3 linked regions of the Rhinolophus ferrumequinum genome follow. The protein of the gene in region 1 purifies or fractionates together with the protein of each later gene. This does not show direct contact. Links are inferred from orthologs where the notes say so. Each region holds a gene or a part of one and is shown in the gene's direction. Other genes may lie near its edges. The genes, in order: CDH5, JUP and CTNND1.

Evidence for each region.
Region 2: the proteins of CDH5 (region 1) and JUP purify together in Homo sapiens (affinity purification with western blotting; 3 studies listed by BioGRID and IntAct, with this or other methods). This does not show direct contact. The link is inferred for Rhinolophus ferrumequinum from reciprocal best matches to the Homo sapiens genes CDH5 and JUP.
Region 3: the proteins of CDH5 (region 1) and CTNND1 purify together in Homo sapiens (affinity purification with western blotting; 3 studies listed by BioGRID and IntAct, counting the BioPlex papers as one, with this or other methods). This does not show direct contact. The link is inferred for Rhinolophus ferrumequinum from reciprocal best matches to the Homo sapiens genes CDH5 and CTNND1.

The regions. Positions count from the first base shown.
Region 1 is NC_046298.1:16,357,507-16,368,279, forward strand, and holds the start of CDH5 (cadherin-5), read left to right. Parts: upstream 1-6,235; 5' UTR 6,236-6,284; coding exon 6,285-6,307; intron 6,308-8,073; exon of another isoform or gene 8,074-8,327; intron 8,328-9,617; coding exon 9,618-9,837; intron 9,838-10,773. UniProt on the Homo sapiens protein: Cadherins are calcium-dependent cell adhesion proteins. They preferentially interact with themselves in a homophilic manner in connecting cells; cadherins may thus contribute to the sorting of heterogeneous cell types.
Region 2 is NC_046304.1:37,730,663-37,741,043, reverse strand, and holds the start of JUP (junction plakoglobin), read left to right. Parts: upstream 1-5,634; 5' UTR 5,635-5,810; exon of another isoform or gene 5,811-5,825; intron 5,826-5,864; exon of another isoform or gene 5,865-6,008; intron 6,009-6,443; exon of another isoform or gene 6,444-6,463; intron 6,464-10,381. UniProt on the Homo sapiens protein: Common junctional plaque protein. The membrane-associated plaques are architectural elements in an important strategic position to influence the arrangement and function of both the cytoskeleton and the cells within the tissue.
Region 3 is NC_046294.1:11,449,681-11,460,390, reverse strand, and holds the start of CTNND1 (catenin delta-1), read left to right. Parts: upstream 1-6,757; 5' UTR 6,758-6,995; intron 6,996-10,710. UniProt on the Homo sapiens protein: Key regulator of cell-cell adhesion that associates with and regulates the cell adhesion properties of both C-, E- and N-cadherins, being critical for their surface stability.

The DNA.
Region 1 (10,773 bases):
CCAGGCAGGCAATGAATGAGATTTCCTTCTGGAGAGGAACAGAGGGGAGTAGGAGGTGGGCCCAGGGCATAACCAGGAAATGAGGTCAGGTGTGAGTCGACCAGTCGGCCAATTGAGCCCACAGCCACCAGGCTAACGGGGTTAAGTAGATGAGGGTCAAGATACCCACACATTTACTGAACACCTACTGTGTGCTGGGCTTCATACCTGTGATCTCCCTCCTGACTAGGGAGGCAGCTATTATTGATGAAGAAGCTTGGGGCTCAGAGAGGGGAAAGGATGAGCCTAAGGCCACACAGCTCGTAAACAGCTGAGCAAGTTCAAACAAGCAGCTTGGTGGGACTCATTCTGCTGCCCTCACGGACTGCCTCAGAGTCCCAAAGTACGGAAGCCCAGAGGAGATTAGAAAAGGCTCTGTAGGGCAGGTGTTTTCTCCTTGAAACTTAGAGCTGCCCCATTAGGAGACAGGCGCATAGACTGGATGACCCTGGAGCCCAGAGACCCCAGCACAAATTTGTTTTAAATTGTAAACTAGCTCTGGTGAACTGGTATTCTACAGTAGAATACCGTGTTCCCCCGAAAATAAGACCTCACCGGAAAGAAGCCCTAGCATGATTTTTCAGGATGACATCTCCTGAACATAAGCCCTGATGCGTCTTTTGGAGCAAAAATTAATATAAGACCTGGTCTTATTTTGGGGGAAACACGGTAGTATCTATTTCAAAGATTGTATTGAGGATTCAAGGGCTGAGTTCAAGTTCAGTGGGAACGAGCACTGTGATGAATTAGTGATGTCTGGAATGGGTACAGGAATGGGTGAGTGGCCACCTATGACCTCTGTTTTACCAGTCCTATCCTGTAAGAGGTCCCCTGCACAGAGGCAGGTGTGTGTTCATCGGGATCTGATAAGAAGGATAATCTCGTTGTCCTCAAAGGACCAATCTCCTAATGGGGGTGTGTATGACAATACACTGGGCCAGTAGAGAGGCTATTTGGGAACAAGGAGGAGCTTCACTGAGTTATACCAATTACTGCACCCACTCTGACCACCCGAGGTGTTGTCTGCAAATAATTCAGGTTTGTTTTCAATCCTGTGAGTGAAGAGGGAAGAGTGACAAGACCAGGACTGGAGACTGAGGCAGGCTGACATGCATCAATGGGAACACCTGACCATCAAGGGCCGGGGCCTTGCGTTCATGCAGCTGGATACTGGATGAAGTGGAAACAGACCCAGAGCCTGCCTGCTCAGAGGCACGTGGGCCAGGAAGCACAGGCTGTACTGGGGGCAGGAGTCAATCAGAAGACCTCATGGGGGAGGCGCCCGGGGCTTAAAAAGAAGTAAAGCATTCACCCAGGGGACACAGCAAGGAAGGGCATTCAGGCAGCGTTGGCCGTTCACCCATTCTCATACCCATGGCAGACATCACTAATCCACCATAGTGTTCATTCCCACTGAACTTGAACTCAGCCCCTGAATCTTCAATACTGTCTTTGAGGTAGATACTTACCAATTCACTAGAGCTAGTTTGCGATTAAAAACAAATTTATGCTGGGGTCTCTGGGATCCAGGGTCATCCAGAGGAAACAGCCTGTGCAAAAAGCCTAGAGAGAGGAAGACCTGTGCATCCCAGAAACACCTACTTCTCCTCATGACTGGAAATGGCAAGGAGGTGGGGGAGAGGAGAGCCAGAGTCGTGGGCAGGGGACACGCCGTGCTGGCTCAGGAACCAGCTTCATCCTGCTGGAGGTGAGGAGCCAGGGACGGCAGTCAGCAAGGGAGCAGGGTGGTCAGCTCTCAGCAGAGTTAAGACGGGGCTGTTGGTAGAACCCTGAGGGAAGGGGATCAGGTCTGGGACCCACAGGAGCAGGTCCCTGAGCCAAACTGAGCTACGAACCAGGAGAAAGTCCCAAGGGGCCAGCTTGTAGGCTGCCCAGTCCCACCCCCAGCACACCCCATCCCCAAGGCTCCCAAGGCCTCACCCTTCATTCACACGGTGTCTGTAGTTGCCAAGGCCCAGCTGTAAATGCTGGGGTTTGAACAGACAATTGGGGAGTTCCTGACGGAGTTTGGGGATCAGGAGCTACAACCTCAGCCCTGAACTGAGGTGTGTGGGGGGATGGCATGGGAGGGCAGTGCAGAGAGCTGCTCAGGGCCACACAGGGAGCAGGGGCCCAGCTCGTCCCCTCCTACAGACACACCTCTTGCGTGCTCTGGGCCCAGCCCCTCATCCCTGACCCAGGGCCTCTGGGCCGGAGTCCAGAGCCTGCAGGAGGCTGGGCTGGAACTGAGCGTCCCGTCCACTCTCTGAAGCTTTGCTTAGGGTTGGGCTCAGCTGCCAGGTCTTGTCCCAGCTGATGGTGGGTGTGCTGGGTGGGAACAGAGGGGCCAGACCCACAGAGCAGAGACTCTTCAGGAATTGGCGTGGGCAGATGCCTGGGGACAGGGGTGTATACTTGTGAAGGCACAGTGGAGGGTGGTGTGTCTGTGTGGTGTGTCTGTAGATGTCATGCATGTATCTCTGACCTGGAGGCTTCCTCTGCCCCACCCCCAAGGGCCCTCCAGCCTTCTCAATACCCCCCCCCCAAAAGCCTGAACTTAGCCCCTAAAACCTCAGGCTTGAGCAGGGTCCTGGTCAGGTCAAGGAGCAGGGGTCGGCCCAGTGGTCAGGGGCAGGACCAGCCTAGGGGCATCTGCCAGGCTGCCCCACTGAGCAGTTCCCAGCTGGGTCCAGGCTTCCCAGAGTCGATTTAGCTACAAATGGAGCAGTTCCAGCCCCTCCCTTTGTGCCCCCTGTATCCCCCTAGACTCTCCTTTTAAAGAACACAGAGCTGAGCAGACCTCACAGCCCCTTCCAGGCTAAATCTCAAGGACACATGGGGGCCACAAAAAGAAAGAGAGCAAAGGGAGTTTTGCCTGATCCCACAGGGGGACAGAGACAGGCAGGACTCACTCCTGGAGTGAGACCCTCAGACCAATCTGGGCCGCCCCCACCCCGCCTTCTCACCGCTTCCTGCACTCCTCCATCACAGTCTGAAGGTCTATTTTTTATCAAGAGGTTATTGTCCATCTCCCCCACCGGGATGCAGCCTGTGTTTGTTCCCCAGGTGTGTTCATTCTGTGCCGGCCACATAGTTGGTGCACTATGTTTGTTGAATGACTGTGTAACCCCAGGGCCCTAGAGAGGGTTTCAGAAAAGTGATGACATGGGACTAAATCCAGGCAGAGGAGAGAGAACGGCAATACAAAGGTGGAGAGGATGTGACCAAGCCTGGCGTCTAGGTTCCGACCTCAGTGGTCCCACTCACTGTGGACACAGACCCGGATCCGGGGCGTCTCCAAGGCCCCAACCTGCCATCCAGGCGTGGGTGAGCCCAACCACTCCCCAGGTCCTCCCAGGCTCCTCTGCCCCTTGTTCTGGGCTCCATGCCCGCTCACCAGGGTCTCTGGGCCACACTCTGTCTTCTCATTGTGGGTCCCCCAGACTTTCCCAGATTGACCAAGGGCACAACCCCTTCAGGTTCGCCAGCTGGCCCACCTCATCCATGAGTCCATTTGGAGTTGCCCCCAAAAGTCTCCAACATGGCTCCAGGGACGGGCATTGTCACAATCCTAGATGACAGGGACACAGACAGGCACCTGGTCAATGCGTGCGTGGCACGCACATCTGAGCTGCCCAAAGAGCAAATCCCATCTCCCCTCGAGGCAGTTGTTGGGCAAGTTGCCAGGGCTGGCTGCTCAGCTGGGAATTTCTGAGCACAGAAATCTGACCCTCTGCACATCTGTCACACCCAAAGCCACCCAGCAGCACCTTGACCTCTGAAAACTTGGTGACAGCAACCAAGAGACGTGACTCCTATTTGTAGGGCGGTAAAGGGCTGAAATAAGTCTGACCCCGCTGTGGCTCTGACTACACCTCCAGAGATGTAGCCACGGGAAATGCTGCTGCCAGCTGTGGGTACAGCAAATCCTCTTGCCTGACTTCCTCTCCCTCTACAGCAGTTGGAGGTGAAATAATTGTTAGACAAAACCATTCCTCTTGGCCCCCATTTTGGTGGCCAAATTTCTAACACAAAAGGCAAAATAACACAAATAAAATGTAGTTTTTCAGATGGAAAAGACCCTAAGGTCCCGCTGAGATTGGATGTAGAAGGAGCGTGGGATTTAGAAAAAGATAGATCTGAGAGGTAGTGGGGAGTCCCAGGTCTAACCCTTCTGAGTTGTTTGTCTTGAGCCTCAGTTTCTTCCTCTGTGAAATGGAGCTGATAATTCCTACCTCCGGGGGATAATGTGAAAACTGAATGAGATGGTAGCTATGAAAGCCCAGCATGGAGAACAGTTTATTATTATTACTGCACATGAATGTCACCACAGAGAGGGGCACATGATGGAAAAAGCACTATGTGGGGTGAAAGGCAGCCTAAGTTCAAATCCTGGCTCCGCCTCTTGCTGTGTGGCCTACGATGACTCACTCCACCTCTCTGAGCCTCACCTGCTAAATGGGATTACTGACAACTACCTTATAGTTTGCAAGGTTTAAATGAGACAATGTGGGCCACTGAGGAGATACTCAGGAACGTCAGCCCCCATCCACCACCCACGGCCAAAAAGTGCTGTCTTGGAAGAGCCCTTGAGGGTCCGGGATGGGGGCTGGCGATGGGATTTTGTGAGCTTCGTCTCCCAAAGGTCCTCATCTCCAAGGTCCTGCCTCCTCACTAACTGCCACTGACAAGACAGCTGAGCATGCAGACCTCCCCCCGCCCCCTCCCCCCAGCAAGTGACACACTGGTGTGGTGGGGTGGCTCTGGAGGGCAGTCCCAGTTCTGTGTGCCAAGGGAGTTCTCTCCAGGGCCCACCGCAGAGCCTCTGCTGGACACAGAATGGATGTGCACATTCAGATCATACTTTATATGTGGGGCCAGACAAAGCCCCTTGAGGGGTTACTGTCCCCTGTGTGCCATGTGGCCGGAGCCTGTGACAGGTGGCCTCGGATTTATTTAAGTCCAGCATGGTTACATATTTGTTTGGCTGATGGATGCTGTCAGCCCTGGGACGTCGAGCTCATCCAAGCAGGCCCCCCCAAGAGAAAGCTGTGCTCCTCTTCACTGGGGCAGACAGGTCCTGACAGGAAACAGTATTTACTCTGGGGGCTCGGAGGGATTACTTACAGAGCCGGGAGCTCAGCTAAGGGAACAAGGGGGACACTGAGGCACGTGGACACCAGCAACAGTGGAAGCCGTTACCACCCAGAGCCAAAGGCACAGAGGAGGGAGGGTTGTTTCCAGAACCCAGTCAGGGCCAGGACCCTGGAGGGGCTTCCCGCCCACCAGGAGCTGTCAGCCACAGCAAATGGTATGAACCAGCACAAAGAGCCAAAGGGAAGAACTAATCCCGCTTTCTCCTCCCATCCTGAGAGCTCCTGCTGGAGCGCCTATTGGCCAAACACCAGAAGCCAGGGCCAGAAAGCCCAGGGGTCAGCCCCTCGACACAGAGCAGAGGTCAGGGGAGGCGTGGGAGGACTGGATCTGGCAGGAGGGGACCTGCAAATCCCTCCACCAAGTGATGGGGTGTGAAGGAACAAGAAGGGTAAGTAGAGTCCCCGAGGGAGCAGACCCAGTGGCAGTGAGAATCCACACACCTTTGGTTCCATTTTTAGCTACTGCTTATTGTCCACGTCACAAACATTTTCTAATTCAACCTGAAGACAACCCTGAGAGGTAGATGCTGGTGTTCCCACTGCACCAAGGATGAAACAGGCTCAGAGGGCTGAAGTGTCTTGTGCACAGTCGCTTAGCAACAAAGCAATGCAACGGAGGTTCTGCAAACTACAGAGGCTGCCGTCATAGCCACCACCCCGCACTGAGTGGGCCCAGAGAGCAACGATCCACGTGTGACATGTGGCTGAGCCTTGAGTAGGGGAGACATAGCTGGGGTGAGAGGGAAAGATGGTCTCCAGGAAGCAGAGGAAGCTCTGACTTGAGCCCTGCCCTGGGGCCTGGATGTCAGTCCAGTGGAGGACGTCGGGAAAGCAGGGCTGTGACGCAGGGACCAGGGACGGTCCCCAGAGGACTTGTCCTCAACTCTGAAGGACAAGTTCACCAGACAGAGAAAGAGGCAAAACCGGGGGTGCTGTCCTGGGGTCACTTCTCTTCTCCAGCTACCTGCTCTCCTTACTGTTCCACCCTCGCAGTTTGAACACCGTCCAGACACAGTGACCAGACACAGTGACCAGACGGTAACTGCAAGCTCCCCCAGACTCCAGGCGGGTCTCCAGCAGCTGCTGGCCATGACCACAGAGACCTCTCATAGGTAACTGCAACCTGACACAGTCCGCACAGAACTGTTGGTTTCCTCCCCACCAACACGCCACAGCCCCGGCTTCTGAATCTCAGGAAAGACCCTGCTGTCCCCCCACTGCTCAGGCCAGAGACTGGGAGCCCTCCCTCATTCTTTCCCATCCCTCGCCCCCACTTCCCCTTCACCAGTGAGTCCTGTTAACTGTACCCCAAAAATAGTCCCCGTGGCCATCCCCTCCTAAACCTGGGCTGGACCACCATCAACTCTCTCCTGTATGACAGTGACGGGTCACCCCTCGCCCAGCCAGCCCCCTCCCCACAGCTGACTGCACAATTAGACTGCATTAGTTGCCTACAGCTGCTGTAACAAACCTCCCCAAACACAGTGGCTTGAGACAATACAAATGTATTTATTTGTTACCTTGTAGTTCTGGAGGTCGGAAGTCTGAAACAGGTTTCAGTGAGCTAAAGTCAGGGCTGTGTTCCTTCTACAAACTCTAGGGGGGAATCCATTTCCTTGCCTTTTCTGGTTTCTAGAGGCCACCCTCATTCCTTGGCCTATGATCCTGCATCACTCCAACCACTGTTTCCATTGTCACATCTCCTTTTTCCTGATTCTGACCCTCCTTCACCTTTTAAAAACCTTTGATTACATTTTGTCTACCCACATGATCCAGGATAATCTCTCTATCTCACGATCCTTAACGTAATCATATCTGCCACGTACAGGTTCTTGGGAGGAGGATGTGGACATCTGTGTGGGTGGCACCATGCAGCCTACCACACTGACCTGGCCACCTCTTCTTGTGATCTGCCCTCCCTCATTGTTCATTTGTATCTGACCCAGGGACCTCCTTTGCTTCTTCAAACACACTAACCATTTTTCTACCTCAGGGCCTTTGCACTTGCTGGTCCTTCTGCCTAGAATTCCCTTCCTTCCCCTGGCGTTTCTAGGACTAACACTCAGATGCTGTCATCTCTATGAGAGGCCTTTCCTGGCCTCTCCATCTCAACCAGCTGCTCCCTCGGTCTCTGTTGTGTCCCCCATTGTAATTCCCTGGGACCCTCTGATCACTAGCTGATGTTTTTCCTCATTTACTTATTTTCCCGGTGTTCCCACTACAGTGTGCACTCCCTGAGGGTGGTTCTTGTCTGTCTTGCTCACTGCTGTACCCCAATGCCTAGCATGGGGCCCAGCATACAGTAGGTGCTCAATACCCATCAGGGTTCACACCCTGTCCTGCTCAGAAGCCTGAAAAGTACCTCTCTCTCTCTCTCTCTCTCTCTCTCTCTCAGGTTCACTTCTGTTTGTTTCATTTTCTCATTTTCGAGTCACTTCTCATTTGAGGGAGGAAGAAAGAACTAAGACTTGCAGTTCCTTTCTAAGCAAAAAAGGAAATGACCCACCAGGCTCGGGCCCAGCAAGGCTGGGGCAGGGGTCACGCCCGCTGCCTTCCCTAAGTCAGAACCAGCTTCCTGGCCAGGACTCCCAACCTCCCCGTGGCTTTGTTCACTCCCTGCCTCGCGCCTGGAATGGCTGCCCTTGCCACACCCACCTCAAAGGGAACTGGATCTCTCCCAAGTCTGTCGCCTCATTTGTGACTGAGGAAAGTGAGAGGCGGAGGCAGGAGGACCTTGGAGGCACATGGTACTTGTATTTTGGGGCCTGCTCTGCTCCACCCCAACCCAGGAGCCCACTTCCTCCTGGGCCAGTGGCAGGGGACACAGGATGGGAACCTCGGATGCTAAGATCAGCAGACCCAGAGAACAGGCTGGCCCAGCACAGACAGACACCCTCGGCCCTCACTGAGGCCAGCCTGGCGCCAGTGTCACAGAAGAAATGTGACTAGAGTTTGGAAACCTCCTGTGATGTGCAGAGTCCAGCCTCTCCCCTGGGCCAAAGCAGGGGACAGTCAGGGAGGGAGTGGGCCTCCTTCCAGCAGCACCCTGTGAGTCCTCGTCTCTCCAGGCAGGAGCGCTGGTCCCACTCCCACCACCTGCCTCCTTCCCTTGAACCATCCCACACGCCACAGGTCAGTGACACAGGGACCCAGCAGGGGTGGACTGAAGGGGTCAGGGCTGAGGGCACAGTGACAGCCAAGGTCAGAGCCTCCACCCACTGTGGGGCAGTGGGGAAAATCCCTCTCCCTGGAATTCAGGAGGACGCTAGGCCCCCATCGATGGGGAACCCAGATCCCAATCTGGGCTGATCCCATGTCCCGAAGGCTGCCTTGAAAGGCATGGACCTGGGCAACCACAAGGGACCCTGTGCTTAAAAGGCCCCCATGCCTGCTTTCATGTTCTTCTGTCGCTATCTTGAAATTCTTAATAACTTTTGAACATGGGACCGCACATTTAAATTTTGCAGTGGGCCCTGAAAATGATGAAGCTACTGTAAGCCCAGCCTCTCAACCCCCACACCACCCACCCCTGCTCTGTTGACAGCTCCTGAACTGATAATCTCCCATGAATTCTGGGGGTGAGGTCTGACCCTCTGGGTTAACACACTTGGGTTTCCTAAGAGCCGTCTGAAGACAGCATCAAAGCCACACTGCTACATGGGCTCCAAAGCTGGCCAAAGGACATGTTTATTTAGAGGAGCCTTGAAATCCCATGTCATAGCAGCTGCTGGGAAAAGAGAGAGCAGTAAGAAAAACCATGAACTTTTGGACCAGACAGACTTCCTTCAAATCTTGGCACGGCTGCCTACAGTCTGAGTGATCTCAGAAATGTTCCTAAACCTCTCTGTTCCTCCGCTCATCTGCAAAATGAGGGATACAATTATACCCACCTTGAGGGTGATTGGGAGGATTAAAGTGAGACAACCCATTAAGTGCTTGGAACAGTGTCAGGCACTTGATAAGTGCTCGATAAATGTTAGCCGCTGAAGTCAGACTCTTGGGATCCATTGTCAGCCCCACCACTTGCTCCAAGCTGAACTGCACCTCTCTGTGTGTGGGTTTTCTTACGTGTAAAATAAGGATAACTGGGTGCCCACCGCACAAGGTTTCGGGAGCTACCATCAGCATCACCCTCTCGTCCGGGACGCCTTCTCCGCAGCCCTCCTCTGGGCTCTCCCTTCGCCTGCACTTGCTTCCACACCAGCACATGTGACATGAAGTACAAATTGTTGCTGTGCCTGTCTTCCCCTCCCAGGCTGGGAGCTCTTTGGGGGCAGGAACAGAGTCTGGTCCTGCTAGGATCGGCAGAGGGTGAAGGACAAAGGAATGAACAGATAAGGGGGGCTCGTTTGTCCCTGGGAGCTGCTCACACCCCAGCATAGGGACCAACAGGCCCTGACGGTGTTTCCTCTCTGTCCCCAGATCTGTGCCTCTTGGGAAGATGTATGTGCTCCCGATGCTTCTGGCCGCAATGGGCACCTGCCTGTGCCTGCTGGTGGCAACTGCCACGAGTGCTCACGTTGCCCAGCTGGACACTCCCAGCATGCTACCCACCCTCCGGCGCCACAAGAGAGACTGGATTTGGAACCAGATGCACATCGATGAAGAGAGAAACGCGCCCCTGCCCCATTACGTGGGCAAGGTAAGGCTCAGGCCCAGAGCAGGCGAGGCCTCTGCAGCAGGCGGGCCGCAGTGACGGTAGTAAAGACGGTGACAGGTACTGGGGCGGTTGTAGGGGTGGGGATGATGGTTGTGAGGGGATGGTAATGGTGGTATAGATGGTGGAGGTGGTAGATGTGGCGGTGGTGGTGGTGGTGATAACGGTGACAGGAAGGGGACGTTGGCAGTGGTAGTGATAGTGATCATGGATGTGACGGTGCTGGTGCAATGGTGGTGGCAGCGATGGGGATGATGATAATGGTGGCGATGAAGGTGATGGTGAAGAGGAAGGTGGTGGCGGTGATAGTGACGGTGATGAGGAGGAAGGGGCAGTTGTTGCCGTGATGATGAGAATAGTGCTGGTGATGGTGATGGAGAAGAGGAAGGTGGTGGTCGTGGTGATCATGGTGTTAATACCGACGGACGGGAAGTTGGTGGTGGTGATCACGGCCGGGACGCTGGTGGAAGCGATATTGAAGGCTATGGCTCATTTTCTCCCAGATCTTGGTCCATGGACCAAATATCACTGGTAGAAGGGCCACGTTGGGCACAGGCTGAGGAGGCCAGCCTGACCTTGGGGTTCAGGGCTTAGGGCAAAACCAGCCAAGGCTGCCATTAAATTTTTCCATCTGAGAGGTCCAGAAAACCTAAGCAGCCTTCTACAAAATCATGCTGGTGATAAAGCTAATTGGCCAGGCCATAGTTTGCCAACCCAGGTCTATGCCTTTGAAATTCCTCAAAAAACCCTTTCTCTCAGACAATCCCTCCCTAGCTTTCCGTCACCCACATAACTCCCCAGGTTTCTAGGGTACCCACAACAGGATGCCTGCCCTCCCATGACGCCAAGCCCCACTTCCTTCCCCTCTAAACCTTGTTCATCCTCAGTCACCTTCCGAGAGATTAGAGCTAATCTGAGTGG
Region 2 (10,381 bases), on another chromosome or scaffold:
CCAGCCTTCACCCTCCCCGTTCTCCCTGCCCCTCCCCCTCAGGACTTCCAGGTTCTCTGCTGGAGACATAAATTATCCATGAGCTGTTAAGTTGGCTGCTTGTTGAACTGGAGGCTGAAGTGCTGATGAAATATTCAAGGATCTCAACTCTCAAATTCCCTGGTGGCCACGGGATAGGACTGGGGAAGATGGGATTAGTGTACAACACAAGGGACTCCAAGTCCTGACCCTAGCCCCCACTAAGGTGGGGTTGCAGCCCCACCAGGGAGGTGGAGAGGGCTGGTGAACTGGGGGGAGGGTCTCTGTGTAATCCATGGCTGTGGCTCAGAGGGCTTAGAGGAAGTGAGGGGAGGTTACAGATTTAGAACCCCAAGGAGAGCTGGCCAGCCCAGAGCCCACCCCACCCCTTCCTTAGTCCTGGCTGTCTAATCCTGAGCTTTTCCTGAAGTCATACTTCAAGCTGACTTGCCACAAAATTGATTTTCATCTATCTCTACCCCTACCACTGCATCCCACCTTTGTTGGGATGGAGAGACCTAAATTGGTGGCAATGGTGAGCTGGTGGGCAGAAGACAAAGGTTCAAGTCCCAATCCTGCCAGGAATTTGCTTGTGTGATTTTAGGGAAGTTCATCTGGCTCCAGTCTCAGTTTCCCCTTAGATACAAGGAAGGAGATTCTAATTAGACTGCTCCTTCTTTTTCTTCCTAAGGACTCTGGACAGGTGGGGGAGAAACGAAATTCCTGCGGTGTGTGTGTGTGTGTGTGTGTGTGTGTGTGTACTGGAGCGGGGAAGGGAGGGGTGGCTTCTCTGTGGGAAGGGCACCTGTCAGGGCAGGCAGGCTGGTAGGGTGGGTGGGGCCCTAGCTGTTTTAGCCTGTGTGAAGTCACCCAGGCCAGGAGCCGGAAGGGAGGTGACTCAGGGGGCAAGGCCTCGCCCCCTCCCGTCCCCCACCTAATCACTCAGGACCAGAGGAGGTGTTAAGACAGCCAAGGAGACCCAGGACCAGAATATATTCCTGATGTTTGCTGTTGGATTCCTGAAGTCCTGGAATTTCACCTGAGGGGTGGGGTTGGGGGTGGGCAAGGGAGGGCAACCCCAGGATAGACATTCTCAGGAGAGGTCCTGACCTTCCTCCAGCGGCTCCCCCGACTACCATCACTGGCCCCTGGTATCTCGCCCTGGCCTGTGCTATTTCTGGCTTGTCCTATCTCTGTTTTCTTGTCTCCCTGTTTTCCCTTGACATTCCATCCCCACCCACAGCTTGCAGTGAAGTATTGCTGGAGCTACCTCTATAATTAAGAGGCCTCCCCAGTGGCTGAGCACACACCCAAAGACCCAGCCCCAGGCCCTGGGCAGCCTCTGGCCTCCAGACTCCTGCCCTGGACAAAGGACAGCAAAACAGACAGGAGCACCCCGATACCCCCTCCCAGTGCCTAGCACCATCCTATCTTGTTCCTGCTCCCACACTGGGGGGGGGGTGCTTGGGCCCCCTCCCACCAGAAGAGTTTGGGAGCCAGAGGCTCTTCTGCAGCACCCAACGTCCTCTCCCCTGCTCAAGGATCACCCTGAGCCAGCCTCACCCCACCCCAACACCTGTGGGCAGGGGCAGGCTTGCAAATGGAGGCCCGTATATGTAGATCTAAATAAATTATAGATCAAGCTAACAAACTGTTAAACAAGATACACCTTGACAAGTAGACCTGCACAGTGTCCTGAAGGGCCAGGATGGAATGAGAATTCTGACTCCTCAGAACACGGCAGTGCAGAGATAACTGTCCCCTGGGCCATCTCCCCTTTCCTTTGAGGCCTGGCTGCCCCCACACTGCACAGGGCCTCCAGCACGTGTGTGGACACCCCCGCTCGCATGTCTGTGCTGTGCCCATCTTTCCCTCACAACTGCCCCCTGCCCCCCTTTGCTGGTGCACATACCACCATGCATGGTGCTACTGTTTGTTCTCAGGAGGAAGGACCAGAGTAAGGGCCCTGCAGGCCCTGCAAGGAAGGGTCAGTGCCGGGCAAGGAATTCCAGAGTGCCCGGTACCCGGAGTGTGGTCTCAAAGGGGAAAGGGATGAACTCTGTGTAGGCTGGTACCCTGGCCCCTTGAGGAGGGTCACAACCCCAGGAGGACCAGCCAGGGGCAGGGCGGGGGCTTCCAAGGGCAGGACCCAGGACAGAGGCCCCTCTCCCAGTCTATGGATGGCTCTCTCCCCTGAGGCTGAGAGCAGGCCCAAGCTCACAATGCTTCTTGATTTTTGCATTGCCTTTGAGTCCAGCCTGCCACTGGGACAGACTTCCCGTTGACTGCTCTCCTTTCCTGCTGCAGTGACGCCAGTGAGAGTTGCTGGGTGATGAAAAGAAACCATCGTCAGCTTGAAGTTTAGCAACCCATCTGCTCACCCGGTCTTTCTTGATAGAGGTAGCCATTCCTGAGGCCAGCTTAGGCCCAAGAGGAGGGAAGAAGGGTGTGTGTGGGGGAGGGGTGGGAGAGATTGAGGGTGGGTGTGTTTGCATGTATTGGGAGAGAGCTGACAGGGCTGGCAGTTGTGTGTCTGAATCTGAGCCCATGAGTGGGGAGTGTATACCCCTGAGGCGTGAGCACAGAGGCTGACTGGCTTGTGCAGACCTACATCTCTGCCTGTCTCTGTCTGGGGAAGGGGCCCCCACAGAAAAAGGGCCAAGTTTGAACAGACAGCAGAATCTCTTCTACCTCCTTATATGGCCCAGCTGCTCCTGGAGGATGAAGGGAAGTGAGATGAGGGAGAGGCGCTTGGCTGTTGTTCACCTTCCCCCAAGGAAGTGCCTCTTCATCCTCACCAGCTCCCCTCCCTCCCACCTGCCCCTCATAGGCCTGGACCCCTCTTTGCTAGTAATTTCTGTCTCTGGGGCAGCTTGGTGCCCTTTTCTTCTTTACTCTGAAGCCCCAGAAAGCTGCAAAGTTGAATGGTTGAATGAACCATATATATTCTTGGCAGCTCAGGGACTGCTTCCACTGAGCTCTGGGCAAGAGAAATGGGTTTAAATTGCAGGAATATGAATTGAAGTTAGACATCAGAAGGAACTTACCAGTGTTAGAATAAGGAGACGTGGGTGTTCAAGGGAGGCTGGACAATCTCCTTTTCTGGAGATCTGGCAAACAGAAGTCCCTGCCTTTAAAGGCTTAGAGGCAGGGGACTGGGTAAAATGGCCTTGTGGTTTTTCCTTCAAATTCAAACTACAGAGGAGACTGTGGCCAGAGCAGCTCTCATCCGATCCGATCGTATCCCTAGGCACCTCCTCACCCGGTGAGACTCCATCCCTGAAACAGACAGGTGATTCTAGTAAACATCATTTTCTGATCCCACAGATGAATCTTCAGTGCCTGATAGGCACATAGTAGGCACTTAATAAATGTGTAGAAAAATCTCTTGACCTGGGAGGAGAAACAGAGCTCTTATCCCAGTCTTTCTTGCTGCTGTGGTGGTGCCCCTATCCAGGCCCAGCCAGAGCCTGGGGCCAGCATGTTGTAGCATGCTCCAGGCTGACAGACAGGGAGAATTCTGGGGACACACACACGTATACACACATAGGCTTTATTCTGAAGCCTCTTTTCTGCCCCTCCACCACACCCAGGGTTCTCCACCCATCTGCAGTCAACCAGCCCTACCCTGCCTGTATGCTGAAGTCAGGAGAAAGGAAGGAGTTAAACCAGGCTTGGGTCTGGGAAGTGTGTGTCAGTGTGCCAGGTGGGGGTGGAGAGATGGAAGAAGGAGGAAGTGAAACCCTGGTGGATGGTGGCAGCAGCCTAGGGATTGCTCTTTTCCTCCCATGCTGGGGGCTGGCTACTGTACTGTGTGGCAGCGTGACAAGCAGTTGGGGAGGAAGGTAGGGAGAAAAATACAGAGATAAGCTGGAGGAGGGGCTGTAAGGGAAACAAAGCAAAGGACAGTGGCCCTGGCCTGCGGGATGGCAACTGGTTTGAGATGTTAATATCTCCCTGGTCCCCTCCAGGAAGACTTCTTGATGGCACAAGCCTCAGAAGTGAGACTTAGCTACTGTTCAGCCACTGTTCTTTTTTCTGGTGGGTAAAGTGGTCAAGGATGCTGTTGGGGTACCCAGCCCATCCTGTGTGCTAGCTTTGGGGCTATAAAGCTTTTAGAGGAAAGACCCTTTCTTGAATGACCACTCCCCAACCCCCCACGTCCCCCACCCCCCCCACACACACACACAGAGTGGCTAAGGTGACTTGTTTACACTTAGCCCTTTGGGAGTCCTTTGAGGGTTGGGATCATTTTGACTTTCTGTGTCACCAGGGTCTAACCCAGTGCCTAGCATACAGTTGTGCTCAATACTTAAATGTTGATGAATGAATGTAGGACCTTGGCACGCTGTACAGCCAACAGGAGGCATTAATTCCATCAACCACACAAAGGAGACTTTTGTCTTCTTAACCAATTGGGAAGTTCTTTCTGATAACTAACCCAGACTCTTCCCCTAACGAGAACTAACCCAGACTCTTCCCCTAACGAATGGTGCCTGCTGTCCCATTCCTTTTATGACTGTGTTGATTTCCTTTAGATCTGCTGCCTGATATTTTTCACAAACCCACCAATACTTTCTCTTAAATCATTACTCTTCTGTCTCTACCCAGAATATTTGTTTTTGCCGGTTTCCCAGCCCCTCCCCACTGCTTTGACATTTTATATCTATGCTGTTAGGAGAACATGTGGTTTAGTGGGCCTTGAAATTAGAAGAAAGTTGTTCTAGTTTTGGATGTGCCACTTTCTAGTTTTGTGACCTCTCTGAACTTCAGTTTCCTTATCTTTGAAATAAGGATCATTTTGTGGTCCTAACAATTTTTCAGAATCGTCATGAGAATTAAAAAACCCCGTATCATTTACTTAAATTCTAACATTTAGCAGTTGTCCAAGTGATTTCACAAACCTTACTTCATTTCATCCCCCTACACACCCAGGTTAGAGAGATATAGCTAATGTACCCACTTTCACAGAGGAGAAAAGGAGTGAAAGATGAAGTAACTTGACTAAGATCATACAACTAGTAAGAGGCAGGACCCAAACCCTGTCCTTCTAATTCTAAATCTCATGAGCACTCCCTCCATCTTTGGGTAAGAAACCCCAAACCAGCAAGAAGTCTATGAAATGCTATACAAGTATGTTATTACGACTTTGTGGCAAGGGTGAATAAGCCCAAAGAAGCATCATGCCTGACGCTGAGTTGGCTGGCCAGTGAAGGCATCTGTCCTTTCCCATGGCGCCCTCTGACTCACCTGTTGGACAGGTAGGGGGAAAGGGGAGAGTCAAGAGTCTTACCTGCTCAGAGGTAGGGTGGGGTAAGACATACTCCATCCCTCCCATTAGTTCTTTCCTTAGTCTTACTGACAGTTCCTTGCCCAATCAGGAGAAAGTAACCTTATATTTGCCAATAGGTGCAGAGTTAGGATGGAACCTCAAGTTGGAGGCCGTCCCCAGAGCCGACTGGCAGTCCTTGGGGCCAATGGCTAGCGGATAAACAGAGGCGGCGATGGAAGAGGACTGGGGACGAGGCTCCGCCCCTCGATGGGACAGTCAGGCGAGGCAGCCAGTGAGACCGCTTCAATGGGTGGGCGTCTCCCTCAGGGGCGGAGCCTCGAGGGGGCGAGAGGCGTGGCTTGGCTGTCAGGTTCCTTCGCCTTTTGTTCAGTTACTGAGTTGCTGCCTTGGCCAGAGTCCGGAGCAGCCGCCGCCCGAGCGCACCGAGCTCAGTTCGCTGCCCGCGCCGGCTCTCATCCCGGCCCTACCCCTACCCAGTCCGGCCAGGCTCCACACGCAGGTGCGGACGATCGCGGCAAGTATCGCTGGGGCGAGGGAAAGGCGGCGAGCGGCCGAGAGGCCGATCCTCGCTGTCTCAGGGCAGGTGAAGGAGATAGCCAGGGAGCACCACCCTGCACCGGCGGCAGGGGGCGCGCTGGGGTCCTGGGCGCGGCGACTGAAGGGGCGCGAGGCTCCGGCGGAGTGCACTTGGGACTTGGTGAGCTGGGGATCTGAGAAGGGCGGGGAGAGGTCGGGGCAGGTGCCTCCGGGGTCACGCCTGCCCCGGGGCCCACAGAGCTCGCCCGACGCCGTGTCTCTGACTCTTGCCTGGTTCTCTCGCGGGAGAGACTTTGACCTGCTCCGTCTGCGTCCCAGGGCGCACTCTAGTTAGGAATTTACTGTTTGGGAAACTTGCTGCCGCTGGTCTCTTTGGGGCCACCCTCACCCCACCTCACGCGTCATCCTCGCTTTCCCTCCCTCTCTACTCCCCCAGGCCTGGGTGGGGCCCTATTGTCTGCGCCCGGCTTGCCCAACTGTGGGGGCCGAGCGCACATTTTCCCAGCGACGCGGGCCCCACCTGCTGAGCAGGTGAGCACACGGAGCCCAGAGGCCCTGTCCTCCAGCTCCCGGAGCCTCGTCGGTCCGGTACCTGCGGCGCCACCCTCTGCTCTGGTGGGTGACAGGCTAGGGCTCACCAGCGGAGATGGGATGGGATGACAGTGGGACTGTGCAGGGCCGGCCCCGCGTCCAGCTGACTCCGCGCTCCGCACCCGTGTCCCGGACTGGGGTCTGGGCCGAGGGCTCGTGTTATGGGTGCATGGGTGGCCCAGTTTCTAGTAGCTGTGGCTTCCAGTGTTGATATGGGAACTGGATTACCCTCCCTAACCTCTTATTGTCGGGAAAAAAAATCACCCAAAACAAACTTTACTAAAGGAGGTATTCGCGGCAGCTCTCTCTGGGGGCTTTCCTCTCTCCTTGCCCAGGGCTTACCCCAGGGTTGACGGGGTCCTTCTTGGGGCAAAGCCCCCTCCCCCAGCCCGCCAAGCTGAGCCAGGGCCAGTTCTTGCGCTCTGACCCTGTCCTCCCTGCCCCCACCTCCATCCTGTTTGCTGGGCCCCTCGGCCCAAGGTGGGGGCCGGGATGAGGGGGGTGGGCCAAAAGGGAAGCAGCTTCTTCCTTCTCTTCCTGCCTCCGGGGACCACCACACCCCCTCGCTTCAGGCCTGCGCTTGTGACTCTCTCCCAAGCTCTGCCCCCTCCCCAGGAATGGGGGTGGGGCAGAGCCGGGCCTAATGACGTGGGTGGGGGAAGCGATTGTTCTGGTCCTTTCCCCCCCCCCCCACCCCGTTCTCCACGTTATTTAGCTGGCTGGTAATTGGGGCCGAGAAGCGAGGAGCACTGGGCCTTGATTTCCAGTTGATTTCTGGATTTTGAAGATGCGTTCCTTCTGGAGGCTTTTGCTGTCCTTTCTCCACCTGCCCCCTTTTGAGAGTTTGATGAGGAAAGTGGGACAGAAGGAAGGCTTTTGGGGGGAAGGTTTCAGGCAGAGCTGAATTAGTGCCCCCTCCCCCATTTTCTGAGAGGCCCTTCTCTGGCCAGAGTTCATGATCTTCATCAGGCTTTCAGCACTGGTTTTTAAAAATCTGAAGTGTGATCTTTTTGCAGGGATTTGGAGCCCAGCCTCTCTGGGGAACAGAAGGGGAATGTAGAGCCAGGTTCTCCCTCAGTCCTGGGGTGAAGGGAAGATTGGGGGGAATCAGGGCTGTTTGCCCTGACTCACTTGGGAAGATCCTACTACCTGGTTTGTTTGTAGATGGGAAAGGGGGGGTAGGGGGACCCCCATGGAGTGCCCCACACCCCCAGGGATCAGGCTCCTTCCCCGTCCCTCTTCTGCTCTGGGGGGGGGTGTACTACCTCCGAGGAGCCATAAGGGCATGGAGTTTGAGCAAAAATAACCTGTTTTCCCTCTTGTCTCCCCAAAGTGGAGGAGGGGAAGGCATCCTAATTACGTTGATTAAATGATTCGTTTAGTTAATCTGGTTTGTGGTTGTGATGAAAAGATAACACTGAGGAAGGATTTCTAGGAGGTGCCTGGTGAAAACTGGCTGCCTACTAGATGGGAGGGGGGGGTGTGTGTGGGGGGTGGGGGGGACGGGGGGGGGGCCGGGGGCCGGTAGGATACAATTAGTCAGTTTTTGCTCCATCAAGCCCCAGCTTGGGTGATAGGAGCCCTTTCCACCTGCCCCATCAGCACCCTCCGGCCCCACCCCATTCCCTTTGGAACCTCTGTTTGGGCTGCCAGAGCTGAGGCTCTGAGAATGTCGCCAGGAGGAATGAAGGCGGTCAGGGTGCGGGCTGCTGCCTGCTTGCCTCCTGGGAGCCCGTGGGGGAGATACCCATGAGGAGTCACTCGCTGGCCTGGGAGGGAGGCAGGCAGGCGAGAGCCATCTTAGAATGGGATGGGTCTCATCACCAGCAGGGCTGTTTACCTGAAGAGTTGTTCTGGCGTGGCCGTTCTGAGCACGGGGATTTGGGCTTCCACTGAGCTGGGTTTGAATCATTACCTATGTGGCTTTGGTCAAGTCACTTCACCCCAGTGACCTCCTTGGCAAAATGGGAATAATCCCTACCTACCCAAGAAGTACTTGATAAATGGTAACTTAAGCAACGGAGGACGCTGCAGATAACCAAGCACTTGCATTAACTGTTCTCACTTAATCCTTATGACTGTCCCTAGAGGCAGCTATCATTACCCCATTCTACAGATGAGGAAATTGAAACTCCGGGAGGATAAGTAACTTGCCCAAGTTTGCACAGCCAGACCCAAGCAGGGTCTGGCATTTAGGTCCTCTCGTTCCAAGCCCGGAGCCCAACCTGCTGTATCACCCCACTGTGGCTCTAGGAAGAGTTTTTCTGCCACTCCTTTTTGAGAGCTTCTGCTTGGGAGTTTGGGGAGAAGAGAATTCAGAAGGGCCTGAGAAGGTATGTGTGAGTGGTGAAGGAGGGTGCAGGTTTGTCAGGTAGGGGTGACGCGTCCTAGCCTCCAGTCCTCCGAAACCTCCCCTGGGTTTGGTTTTTAGTTCCTGGGAGAGGGGGCTCTCTCTCCCCAAAACTAGGGACTGTAGCGGATGTGTGGAGGAGTGCGGACAGGAGAGGGCGGGGGTCAAAGCTGCTGCTGCCTCCTGGCTGAGTGGGCAGAACCATGGGTTGTTCTGGGCTTGTCCCTGTATAGGAAGTGGGAGTCACCTGCTCTGCTGGGGGCTGGGCCTCTGCCAAGGGGGGGGGGGGCCTGCTCCCTGGAGAGAGGAGAGAAATGAGAGTCAGATTAAGGACTGGGCTGATGTCCTGCTGGATCGTACCCAGCAGTGCTGCCAGACTGCTCTTGGTGGGGAGGGGAGCTGGCTATCTTCTGTTTGGGAGACTGGGGGCTGGCAGTAGGGGTTTTGTGCTGCTGGGGAGGGCCTTTCTGGTGATGAGTGGGGTCAGCCAGAGCCTTGTTCCTTGAAGGAGGGGCTGGTGTCACTGTCTTCTCAGACCTGCCAGGCTCTGGCACCTCTGCCAACTGAGCATCTGATACCAGAACGGGCCTGGGAAATGGGGGCCGTACCTGAGCCTGTCAGCATTGGGCTTCCGGATCCCTTGCAGGCAGGAAAGGACCCCAAACATCAGGATTATTGGTCCCGGAGAAGAGAAGGCTGAAGAAACTTGACATGACAGAGAAGGGAAAGAGAATGAGCTCAGGGGGCTGTTAGCTATAAAGAAGGTGAGGGGCTTGCTGTTTTCTGTCACCCCTGAGGACATACGAGTTTTTGGGACTGATGCTTTGTGGAAGGAATGGAGGCCACAGGAGGAAGGCCTTGCTCTGTGTTAGAGATGAGATCTTGAGTTGAAGAATAAAAGGGAGAGATGGAAGCTTAGAGGTGACTCTTCTCTGAAGAGGATGAAGCAGGGCCCTGTCCCTGAGCTAGGGGAGGGCCATCCTGCCCCAGCAGTCACTACCCTTTGGGGTAAGTCTGAGGTCTGCTGGAGTCCCTGGGGCAACAATCAGTCATGTGTCTTCTGGGAGAAGAGCGACCTGGCCATGAGAGGGGCAGATATCCATGAGCCGCCAGCTGGCCCAGTCACCCATGTGAAGAGAAAGAGCAGTGTGGCCGGAGCAGGTCATCAGGGTTTGTGTCCCTGCAAGGGACACCGGGAGGCCTCTCTCCTGGGACATGGTTGAATCTGGTGGAGGTCTGGGGGCCATGGACTGCCCCAGTTTCCAGCAACTTCCTTGGCTGGGCCTGAAGAGAAAGCTCACTGCCACTCCCCTTTGCTCAGCCTCCTGGCATCTCAGCCTTCGGGAGCCCTCAAGGCAGGAAGCTCAGCTTTCTGTGACCTGCAAAGTGTGAGTTAACAGGTCTGCTTTCTTTCCTCACTGTGGAGACTGTGGAGTCTTGTGGATTCTTATCTCTGAGGAGTGGCAGCCAGGGGAGAGAGTTGGGACCTGGTCTGGGCACTCAATATGCTGCTTGTTTGGGGGTGAGGAGGCGGTGGGACTCCTCTCCTTCTGGACTGAAACAGTAATATCTGATCATTGTGAAAAACAATT
Region 3 (10,710 bases), on another chromosome or scaffold:
CTTAAGGCAGACTACATTTCCAGCTTTTGCACTGAAACCGCCACTCACTGCACAACTGGTGTTCCTTTCCTGGCATGCAGTTTTCTGTCAGGTGGCACTGAGGATCTGAAGAATTCACGTCAAACTACCAGTAAAGAAAAGAGTAAAAAGGTAAATTAAGAAAGCAGAGATTCAACTCCGATCCCAGCCAGAGCGATGGGGGTTGAGGCTGGCAGCTGTTGCAAGGGCCTAAACTGAGGCCCTGGGGAAGGTTCCCAATCCACCAGCACCTGGCCTTGCCCCCAGACCCAACCTGAATTGGCTCTTCCGTAGGAATTGCTCCTGCCGTCCCCTCTGTCCAGACTGCCTTGCTTCCTCCCGATGTCCAGCCTCGCGCCGGGAGGACTGTCGAAGAAAGCAGCACAGGTGGATGAATCGCCTGAGGATTCGTCTCCCCGGCAGGAGAAAAGGAATCGGGGTTGGCGGAGAAAGCAGGGCTTCAGGGAAGGCCCTGCAAAGCTGGGCACCCCAAAGCTCCGGGCGCCCTGGCCCAACCCTTTTGAAGAGAGAGCCCCCCCCTCGGCGCGAAGGTTTCTGGGAATGGAGCGTGGGGATTCCGGAGGCCGGAATTCAGAGTTCACCCTCACCACCAGCTCCAGCCACAGGGGCTTTGCAGTCACCCACTAGGGCCCTCGTCCTGCCGCGGGCCCCGGCACCCTCATGCACGAGGAGATGATGACAGCAAGAGCCGCCTGAGGGCACGCACGCGGCCCTCGCCACAGACCTCGCGCCGCGGCCCTCCCGCACGGTGCGTCGCAGGGCCGACGTGCTTCCTCCTCCCCAGCTCTCGGGCTTACGTCTACCGGAATACGTCATCCCCATTGGCCGAAGGCTCCTGGAAGAGCCAATCACAGGAAGAGGAGCGCTTTGGGCGGGAGGCTGAGAATCGGAGAACTTGGGAGCTGAGGAAAGATGGTCTGGTCACGAGAGGTAGGGGGAAGGGCCTCCTAGGGAGGAATTCGGATGGCAGCCGACTTCTCGCTCAGCACTCGATGAAAACACTGTGAAAAAGAGGGTCAGGATCCTCCAATCAGATAGGCTCCAAGGCTGCTGAAGGATACCTTCCGCTTCTCTTTGAAGAGGCTGCAAATGGCCTCGGCCCTGCCAAGAGGGCTCCAGGCTTAATGGAGAAAAAAGCCCCAGGATGGCTCTCCTCGCACCTTGTCCCCCATAGCTCTAATCTAGATGTCTCCTAAGGCCAGGGATGTTCTGGAACGAGGTCATTGGGCTAGTTTTTGAATTCAGGTTTTTCTCAGATTCCATTCCAGCCCCAAACCTCCGAGAATTGGTGACTGAGGGTGGGAGGTGGGGTTGCAGGACTTCCCGTCTAGAGTGGTCTCTCTTGTCCTTCCAGAGATGGTTTATTTAGCGCACTTCCTGACTGGAAACAGCTGTTTTCAGGGATGATATTAAAAATTAAACGATCTCGAGATTAAACATTTAGTAAGAATCCTAACCCACGTTATCAATCTGGACAGCGGGTCTTTCCCCTGTGTGCGTTAGGCCCCGGGTCCTGGCTTCAGTTAGATTTTGCCTGATGTCCAGCTCTGGATGAAAGTGGCTGAATCCAAAGCCACTGATGACAAAGTGTGATGAAACTGAGCAGTCCCCCGCTGAGGTCAACTGGAGACAGAAAAGGAAGACGCCTAAAAGGGAACCTGGAAAGGGACAAGATGTGGAAGGGTGAGTAGTACAGTGCCCTCAAATATGTCTATTGATATCTAATACTTTTTCAAAAGGATTTGAGGTAGTTGATTGAAATATGGGGCGGAGTGGGGGGCGGAGGGGGGGGCGGCGGGCGGGGAGGAAGTGTCGGGCATTTCCAAGTCAGGTAATATTTCCCCTGGTTTGAGGCCTCTGTTTTTAAGATGGAAAAAGAAACAAGAACAAAAGACATAGTTTGAAGAGGAAGCAGTTCGTGAAAGGACGTAAAACTTACTAGAAGGACAGATTTTTGATACTGTTTGCGTCACACAAAAGCAAGCAAGCAAGCAAAACAAAAAAAAAGACAGAAGGCAGAACAGTGTTTGTTTATGGCATCTGCTACTGTGGAATCAGGATGTGATTAAGTAAGTGGAGTACCAGTACAGTTATAGGTAATTCTGTGGAGTTCTAACAAAAATATAAATAAATATTCTATCGTCTCATGAATATGTTGTTATCAGGATTAGATTAATTTTCAAGAAGTAGAGAGGACTCACTTCTTGGTTGTTTTCTTTTTTAATCCAATATCATTTTAATTAAATCTTGTGTTAGTAGAATTTCTAAAGGGAATGGTAAGTGGCCATTCTACCTATGGCTTCAAAAAAAAAAAACAAATGACACACTTTGGATGGTAATGTGTAGCCACCAGAGGGTAGAAAGGAGTAAGAAGATTTTGTTTTCCTCTGTATGGACAGCCAGTGATTTTTTTTGAGTTGATTTTTAAAAAAATTTCTTCTCACTCCATAACCATAACCAGTCACTCGTGATTTCCTTGTCTCCCAGTCCCTGGAAACCACAGATCTGCTTTCTGTCTCTATGATTTGCTTGTTCTGGATATTTCATATAAATGGAATCATACAATATATTTTTTAAAAATTTTCTTCTCCTAGGTATTTATTGTTTTAGTCTGTTTTGGAAGTAAATTCATCACAGCTCAGCACTCTGCCCTATATAATAATCTTAATATTTCTTTTTTAAACACAATTTTATTTTCCAGCTCTTCCTTAATCTTTCACCATTTAATGGTTTCTTGTTTCTCTTTGTTTGTAAGTGGTGATGACTGTGGATAGGGAAGTTAAACTTTGAGAGTGGTAAAACTAACAACTGAATGTAATATTCAATGCATAATAAACAAAACAAAACAAAAAAGGAAGGAAAAAAAACCCAAACCAAAAGCAGTGCTGTGTCTCTAAACATATCCTCAATCCATTGACCTCTCTCCATTTTTACTGCTGCTACTGTAGTGAACTCCATGTCACTGTCACTTGACCTTCAAACTAATTTCCTTGCTTTCACTTTGTTCCGTCTTTAATCCATTTGTCACATTAGTAGCCAGATCTTTTCAAAATATGAGTTAGATCATGTCATTCTGCTGTTTAAAACTCTCACAGGCTTTTCTCTACCTAATAAAAACTCCTTTCTCTAACCTATGGAAAGAACCCTTCATATTCGGATTCCTGTCTATCCCTCCCTCATTTCCAACAGCTCTGCTGGATTCAGTGTATTTCAGCCCCACACTTGAGAGCTCTGACATTAGTAGTTACCATTGCTCATATCTTCTCATTGTTGGCCACTTCTTATCATTCAGATTTCAACTTAAATGTCACCTCCCCAGAGAGTTTGTCCCTATGTCCAATCTAGAACAAACCATGAGTCATTCTCATCAGTCTGTTTTAAATCTCTGCATAGTCCTCCATCTGAAATCTTATTTATTAAGCTTCTCTGTTCCCCTGCTAGAAAGTAACTTTTTGAGAGCAAGAGACTTGTCTGTCTCATAATTCTTGACATTTACTAGAAGAGTACCTGGCTCACAGTAGGTGCTCAAAATAACCCAAGTGGAACTAGTCTTTTTATTTTCTATTAACTGATTGTAAACAGTTTTCCCCTAATGAATATTAATCCTCGTGATGCTTTATTTGGAGATAGCTGTTTCAGATAAATTTAATTTTTAACAATTTTTCACCACTGAGCTTTCTTTTTTTATTTGTATATGATTTTATTTTTAATGTTATCTACAAATTCATTAATGTTAAATGATTCCTCCAGGATTACATAACTAGTAAGCCAAGAGACTTCATTCACTCATTCATCTGTTGTGAAATATGAGAGATAAGGCTGAGCTGGGTGCACTTAAAATGCAGGCCGGCTTGGACGTACACACATCAGGGGGTGGCTTGGAACGACTCAGTCTGATCTTTCTGGGCAATAGTCCCTCATCCACAGAGGGGTACAAGTTGGTGGGGGAGGGCACCGTAGGACCAAGGACAGGGTCACTCGCACTCTCTTCAGGTCCCTGACTGTGGCTTGACGGTGAAGAGCTTTTTTCCTGTGGAGGTGGGCAGGCTCTGGCCTTCCTCTTGAGCACAAGAGTGTCAGACAAGTTCTCTGCGTTCTGTCGGTTGCACCTCTCCTGGGACGCCTCCTCCCCCGACGACTTCAACCTCACTGCCCCGAGAGGACAGGGAGTCTGGGTAACAGGCAGTGGCGTTCGAGGGCGGCGGCTGGATGCCACCACCCTGGCAGAGATCGGTGCAGCGCTTGGAGGTTGTAAGCACTCCCGGTTCAGTCTTCTGCACTGAGGGGCCTTCACCAACTTCCCACCCTCTAGCTGAAGGGATTCTAGCTCAGATACTCGGAGCTGACGGGCTCATCCTGGGCTTCTTCTCGAGATACTTCCATCTCTGAGGTATACAAGAAATCTACCAGCTCTGGGGATACACTATTACTAGAAAGACACTGTTCATGCCTTCATAGAGCTTATCTTCTGATGGAGGAGACAGGCACACACACACACACGGAAGGCAAAATACTTGCAAGTTGTTAGTGGTGATGTGAGGGAAGCAAGACCAATCCATTTCTAGAAAATCATAGAATTTTTAGAATATGGCTCTGATCTAGGAACCAACCAGTCAACAAACATTTCTTGTACTGATTGTTTTCCTTCGGCAATCATCTTTGGCTTTTGAATTTGTTATGGAGGAGCAGGAATAGATGGAACGTAGAGGTAGAAGATGTGATAAGGAAATACGGGAAGATTCGTAGATAATGAAAGGCTGTTCATTTCTCTGTTGAATGTATTCGTTTCCCATTCTAGTTCATTTAAAGCCCATCAAACAACTGCTGTGATGCCTGTTTGGTCTTCCTGCACTTCTGAGAGAAGTCCTTTTTGGCCACTTTAGACTAATGGAGTCTGTGGGACTATAGACCAAATATGAGGGGGTGGATAATGACTAGATCTGCCTGATTAGAAAATCACATTCATGCTGAGGAGGAGTGGAATTGGAATTCCAGTTTGGATAATAAGGAAAGGTCAGATTATGGTTAATAAGTGTTACTTTAGTATACTGAATGAATAAATGTGGCTCCTTGAAAGCAGATGAGGATCTTAGCCTTTATCCTGATCACAGTGTAAGATGATGGAAAGAACGTGGACTTTGGAGTCAGATTGCTGAGGGCTTTACTTCTTAGCCAGATTTCAGGCAAGTTTCTTACCCTTGCTGAGTGAGCCTTGATTTCCTCATCTGGAAAATGGTGGTCATAGTATTCTATGGTGGTGTTTTAGAAGTTACAGCTAATGAGTGCAAAGTGCCTCTCACGTGATAGATTCTCCATCATTGGTTGCTATTATTGGGCAATGATGAGCCAATGAAACTTTTCTGGGCAGGTTAGATACTGATAATAATAACAGCTCATTCTTAGTGAGTTTGTACTGTGCCATACATTGTTTAAAGAACTTTATGTGTATTTTAATGCTCACAACAGTCCTGTGAGAGAGAGATAGTTATTATCTTCATTTTATAGTTAAGGAAACTGAGGCACATAGAGAAGATATAATTTGTCCAAGGTCACATAGTAAGTGTAGAGAGGAGGAAGGTTTGAAGCCAGGTAGTCTGCCTGCAGAACCTATACTCTTAACCACTATTCTAGATTATGAAAACTTTATGAAGATTCATCAGCAGTCTACAGGATAGATTTTAGATTTTTCAGTAAGATAGGAAAAGGAAAATTTCAATTTATTACCATCATCGTTTAGTAACTACTGAATGACCATAAAATACTAGTCTTTGTTAAGTTTGTAAAAAAAAAAAAAAATCCAGTCTCTGATCTTCATGACCTAACAGTATAGAACATACTAAGATAACTCTTTACTCAGAAGAATACCTGTATAATCCTTAATTTAGGTCAAGTGTAAAAAGAGAATGTATGAACTAGATTATCTTAAACTTGAAGTTCACAATGCAGGCGAATATTCTTGATGTGAGACTGACTTTTCCTTACACATGCTGTTATCGCCTCTAAATGTATTGCTTGTTTATTGGATTCCATTTATCCTTCCCCTCAAACCGATATTATTTTAATTTGGGGCAAAAGGGAAGACAGTGATTGGCCTTAACTGCCCAGTGGATTCAGCTTCCTTCTAGTTGAAAGTATAGACGCTAAGAACTGTTAACAAGTGCAGACCTTTATTTTTTCTAATTAGCTCTAATGCAATTAAACCAAAACAATGAAATTGAGAGTTTACCTCAGATATCTCCTACCATCCCAATCAACACGTAATAATCCTGTTTTTTAGGATTTTTCTCTCCCACCCTTCCTGTCTTCCTTTGGGAGAATGCTTTGGGGTAGAAAGCAACAAACCAAATAGCAGCAGGCATATAAAATCAGCTCTTTTCTCTTTCTCCACCCGGAAGGGAAGGGAGAGGGAGCAAGAACACCACCATCAAAGGGAACTGATTCTTAGGCAGGCCATTCTAAAACTCCCTTGTTCTTCTACCCCCCCGCCCCCACCAGAGCTCTGCAGTAATTCTTCAGAGATTGTATGGTCTCTACTTTAAATATAAATATATATATAAAACTTCCCCCTGTCTGTCTCCTCCTCTCTCTCCTTCCCCCCCATTTCCTATAATAAAGTTTCCTATTGGATAAAATCAGCTCCCTGATTTATGCCTGGCTCCTATTGGAAGTTCTCAGGGGCTGACATCACTTAGGAAAGCGAGGGGGTAGGGCTGCCAGATCAGTTTGTCACCACCCAGGCTCCCTATCCTTTGGCTGGGTGCAACTTCCATTTTAGGTGTTGGAGCTGAGAGAAAAAAAAAAAAGAGGGAGAGAGAGAAAGAAGACCAGGAAAGATCCTGAAAGGAGGAAGAGGCCGTGAAAAATCACCTACCTTGCTGGATTTGTCTTTCTCACCACATTGACGAAGCCTTGGGTTTCTTTCTTAAAGGACTGGTTTTTAGAAGTCCACATCTGAGGTGTGTGCCTTTTTAAAAAATGTGTACAGACGGGTAAAGGAGGATACGCCAAGTCGAATTTTTGTCTTACGGTAACCTGAGGAAATTTAAAGACGAGAGTCTGCTATGTTAATGGGTGACTTTTAAGCAATTATTAATTTATTTTTCTACTTACTTTGGGGAATTGTATTATATTAAAAAAAGGTAAAATATTCAAGACCCAGAAACAAACTTCTAGGTCTCTCTAATAGAGGGCGATGAATAGATTCAGAAGGGTGAGAGCAATTCTGTAAATTTACAATTTGGTGTGTTCTTTGATTTTATATCTTTTTCTGGATTAAGCTAACAAACTTCTGTTTTCAGAGCCTAAACCAAAGGTTGGTTTTTTTTTGGCATGTTGCGTGTGGGTTGGGAAAGGAATTTGTCCGGGTCGGAAGCTAGTTATACATATGGCTCTTCATATGTTTCAAAACTTTTTTTTTCATCTTTTATCATTAGATTTGTGGAAGCGAAAAGTTGCAGGGAGTTTTGTAGCTTAAATGGTGGTGTTCCCCCCCTAGAGTTTGAACGGCCCAGATCGGTTTCAGCCCTGCTGTCCTGGGTGGATCCCTCTTTTACTTTTCCAGGTGTGGTGGGTGGGAGCCTCATCCTCCTGCTAGACGTTGCCTCCCTGCTTTGCCTTATAAGAGAAAACAGATGGATCCATGTTAAATGAATTGTTATCTCCTTTTCTTCTAAAAACTACCTTCGATGGCAAGATGTGTTGTTGGATGTTCAATCTGCAAATATGAAAGTGTTTGGTTTATGTGCTTAAAGGCATAAGGAAATTGTAATCATGCTTTTTAGTTCACCTAAGTGGCAATACACCTGAAAATATTTTCAGCTTTGTGCTCTCTTAAAGGGCCATGGATTAAATAAGGTTAGGCTAAGAGAAAACACTTATATAAACTTTAGTGTTCAGAATGAATTTGAGAAAGCACAAGGGGAGTTCTTATTTTAAAACAAACAGTTCTTTTTTGGAGGTGAGTTTTTTGTTTGCTATAAAATCAAAAATCTGTTAAGAGCTGAAGGCCCATGACTGCTTTCATATTTTACATTTAATCTTAAGATTTGTTTTTGCAAATGCATTCTTGCAAAAATACTGATTCTAGATAATTACATAGCCAACTCATCAGTAGCTGAAAACTGGGTGTTCTCTTCCTTCTCCCTTTGAAAATGCGAATCAGTCTGAAAATTATAGCTGGATTAGATACTGCCCTAATTGTAACAAGATGGGCCTTAATATGTAAACTGCTCATTAGCTTTAAACTGGAATCTACCTATAATCTCTGATTTTGTGCCCCTTCTAAACCCAGTTTTTAGACGAGAACACTTCCTTGAATTTCTTTTCTAGAACTGAGATTATTTCTTGAAAGATGATTTCATACTTGTAAGTTTGTGGCTTCACAGGAAACTAAACTAATATAATCTATGCAAGGGCTACAGTAAGATTTTAATACCTGGATCTCATAATTATAGCAAGTGCAGTTAAAAAGGAAGAAAAAAAGCCAATGTGTACAGTCTGTTGGGTTATAGTTCTTATTTAATATTTTCCAGTTTTTCTTTCAAATGTTCTCTCTGCCTTGACTCCAGCCTAGAGAGGTTTCTTGGTGGATCTTTGAAGGGTTGGTCATGTTGCTGCCAGAGTGTCGGTTTCCTACTCAACCTTTAGGGGGAGGGATGAGGGAATCTGAAGAAGGAGTACAAAGGCAGTTTGAAAATAGGTTCTGGATGACTGAGTGGTGGTGCTTTGGGTCCAGCTTTAAATATTGGGCTTTGTGTAGCCGCAGTAAGTATCCTAGTTAACTATCAGCCAGGACTATTTCCCCGAACTGAGGCATTGTTTTGACTGGTATGTACCATAGAGCCTTTTGCATGATAAGATGGAAGATTGTCTTTTACCTCACCTCTACCAGTTCTTTCAGGAAATATAGTCAGGGATGCGAATAAGTACATCCTTTTATTTTTTTTGTTTCGCTCCTCCTTTTGGTTTTGGGGTAAAAAATGACTAGTAAGTATGAGTTGTGCAGATTTTTCTTTCCTTGTTTGACTCCTGTATACTGTTGGTTTCTTTGTTATATGACTAAGGTATGTACGGTCTGTGTTCCAGGTGGGGGTCTCTTGTGGGTGGTTAGAGTTCTAGTGCCTTTCTTAGGGTTCCAGTTACAGAGAGTCAGAAGGGCTAGAACATGTTCTTTCAGGTAGTATAAAAATTGGTACTATTGGAAATCTTAGGAAAAAAACGAAAAGCTCCAAGTAATTGCAATTCACTTAGGTTTATGAGGTAGCTGCTCCCTAAGGATGGCTGCAAATAAATTAAGCATAGATCACTATTCATTTGGAATAACAAAATGATTAGCTCTGTATAATTTATTGCTTTCTATTTTGATACTTGATGGCCCCGTTACTAACTGCCAGGCCCTCCCCACCTTGTTTTTTTACTGCTTAGCATTTTTTATGCTTAGCCTTTTGCATAAACCATTTATTTAATTTCCCACAACAACTGTTGTTGTTTTTTTTTGTTTGTTTGTTTTAAAGGAATTTGAGCCTCATAGAAGCTGAGGTTTGCTGAAAATCTCATTGCCCATAAGGGACCAAGGCTAGGCTTAAACCCTGGTCTGACTAACTACAAAGTCCACGGACTTAACCACTAATACCCTGCCATTCTCCAGAGAGAATAGAAAAAAGATCCAGAACTAAAATGAGCCCTTGCTAGAGGCCAGAGTGCTTTATCTTGCAGAGGGTCAGTCCTCACTTAGATTTCCAACCCCCTCCCTGTTGGAATAACCTATGTGAAAAATCCATTTTCCATAAAGCCGTGGGGAGCTGGATATGCTAGAACGGATGTTATTTCAATCTTTAGAACAGAGATCTTTCCATATGCACAGCATTGCTGTCCTAATTTCTTAAACTTACTTGAAATGACTCAAACTTAATTTGATTATCAGTGAAATTTCTTCCAGAGAATTTTCAGGCATGATATTGCCAACTTGCAGGGTAGAGGGTTGTAGCAGGTAGAGCAAATAATGTTTATCATACTGTATTAAAATAGTCTAGTTTTGTCTTTCCTTCTAGACTATGAGCTGCTTGAGTATAGGCACTGTCTTATCTCTGTATTCTCTTAGCACCTATGGTAGTGTGTGGTATATACTGAGGTGTTCAGTAAACCTTGGTTAAATAAAAGGCACTTGATGACAACGAGTGAGGCACCTTTGGGAAACGCTGAAGGGAAGTTGAGATAGGAAGCACTACTACATAGATTAATACAATTGCAATGTAATTTTGAAACTTTACTGTAGTCTGTAGTTTCAAACTTTGACGCATCTCCCACCTTTCATTTTTAAGTAAAGTTTCTGGAAATAATGAAGATTTAAATTAAATTTTTTAAAATCCTGTTTCCTTTCTGGGCAAGCAGTCCAAAGAATAGTATAAAAAAGTAAGGGTCCTAGTCAGTTCATTTCATTACATCGGTAGCTGTTAGTTAACTTAAAGCACTGAAACCTGAGTTTAGCCATTTCTAGGGGAGAGGGACTGGTTACCTAGAACATATTAGGGCAGTGGCAGGCAAGTATTGCTTTCAGCCATGTTGGAAGTGATTGGTTTTTATACTTGTTAATACAAACATAAAAAGCTTGGGATGGTAATTTGAACATCAGTGTTTCAACAAAAGTGTGTTTGGATTATCACTGTATTTTTT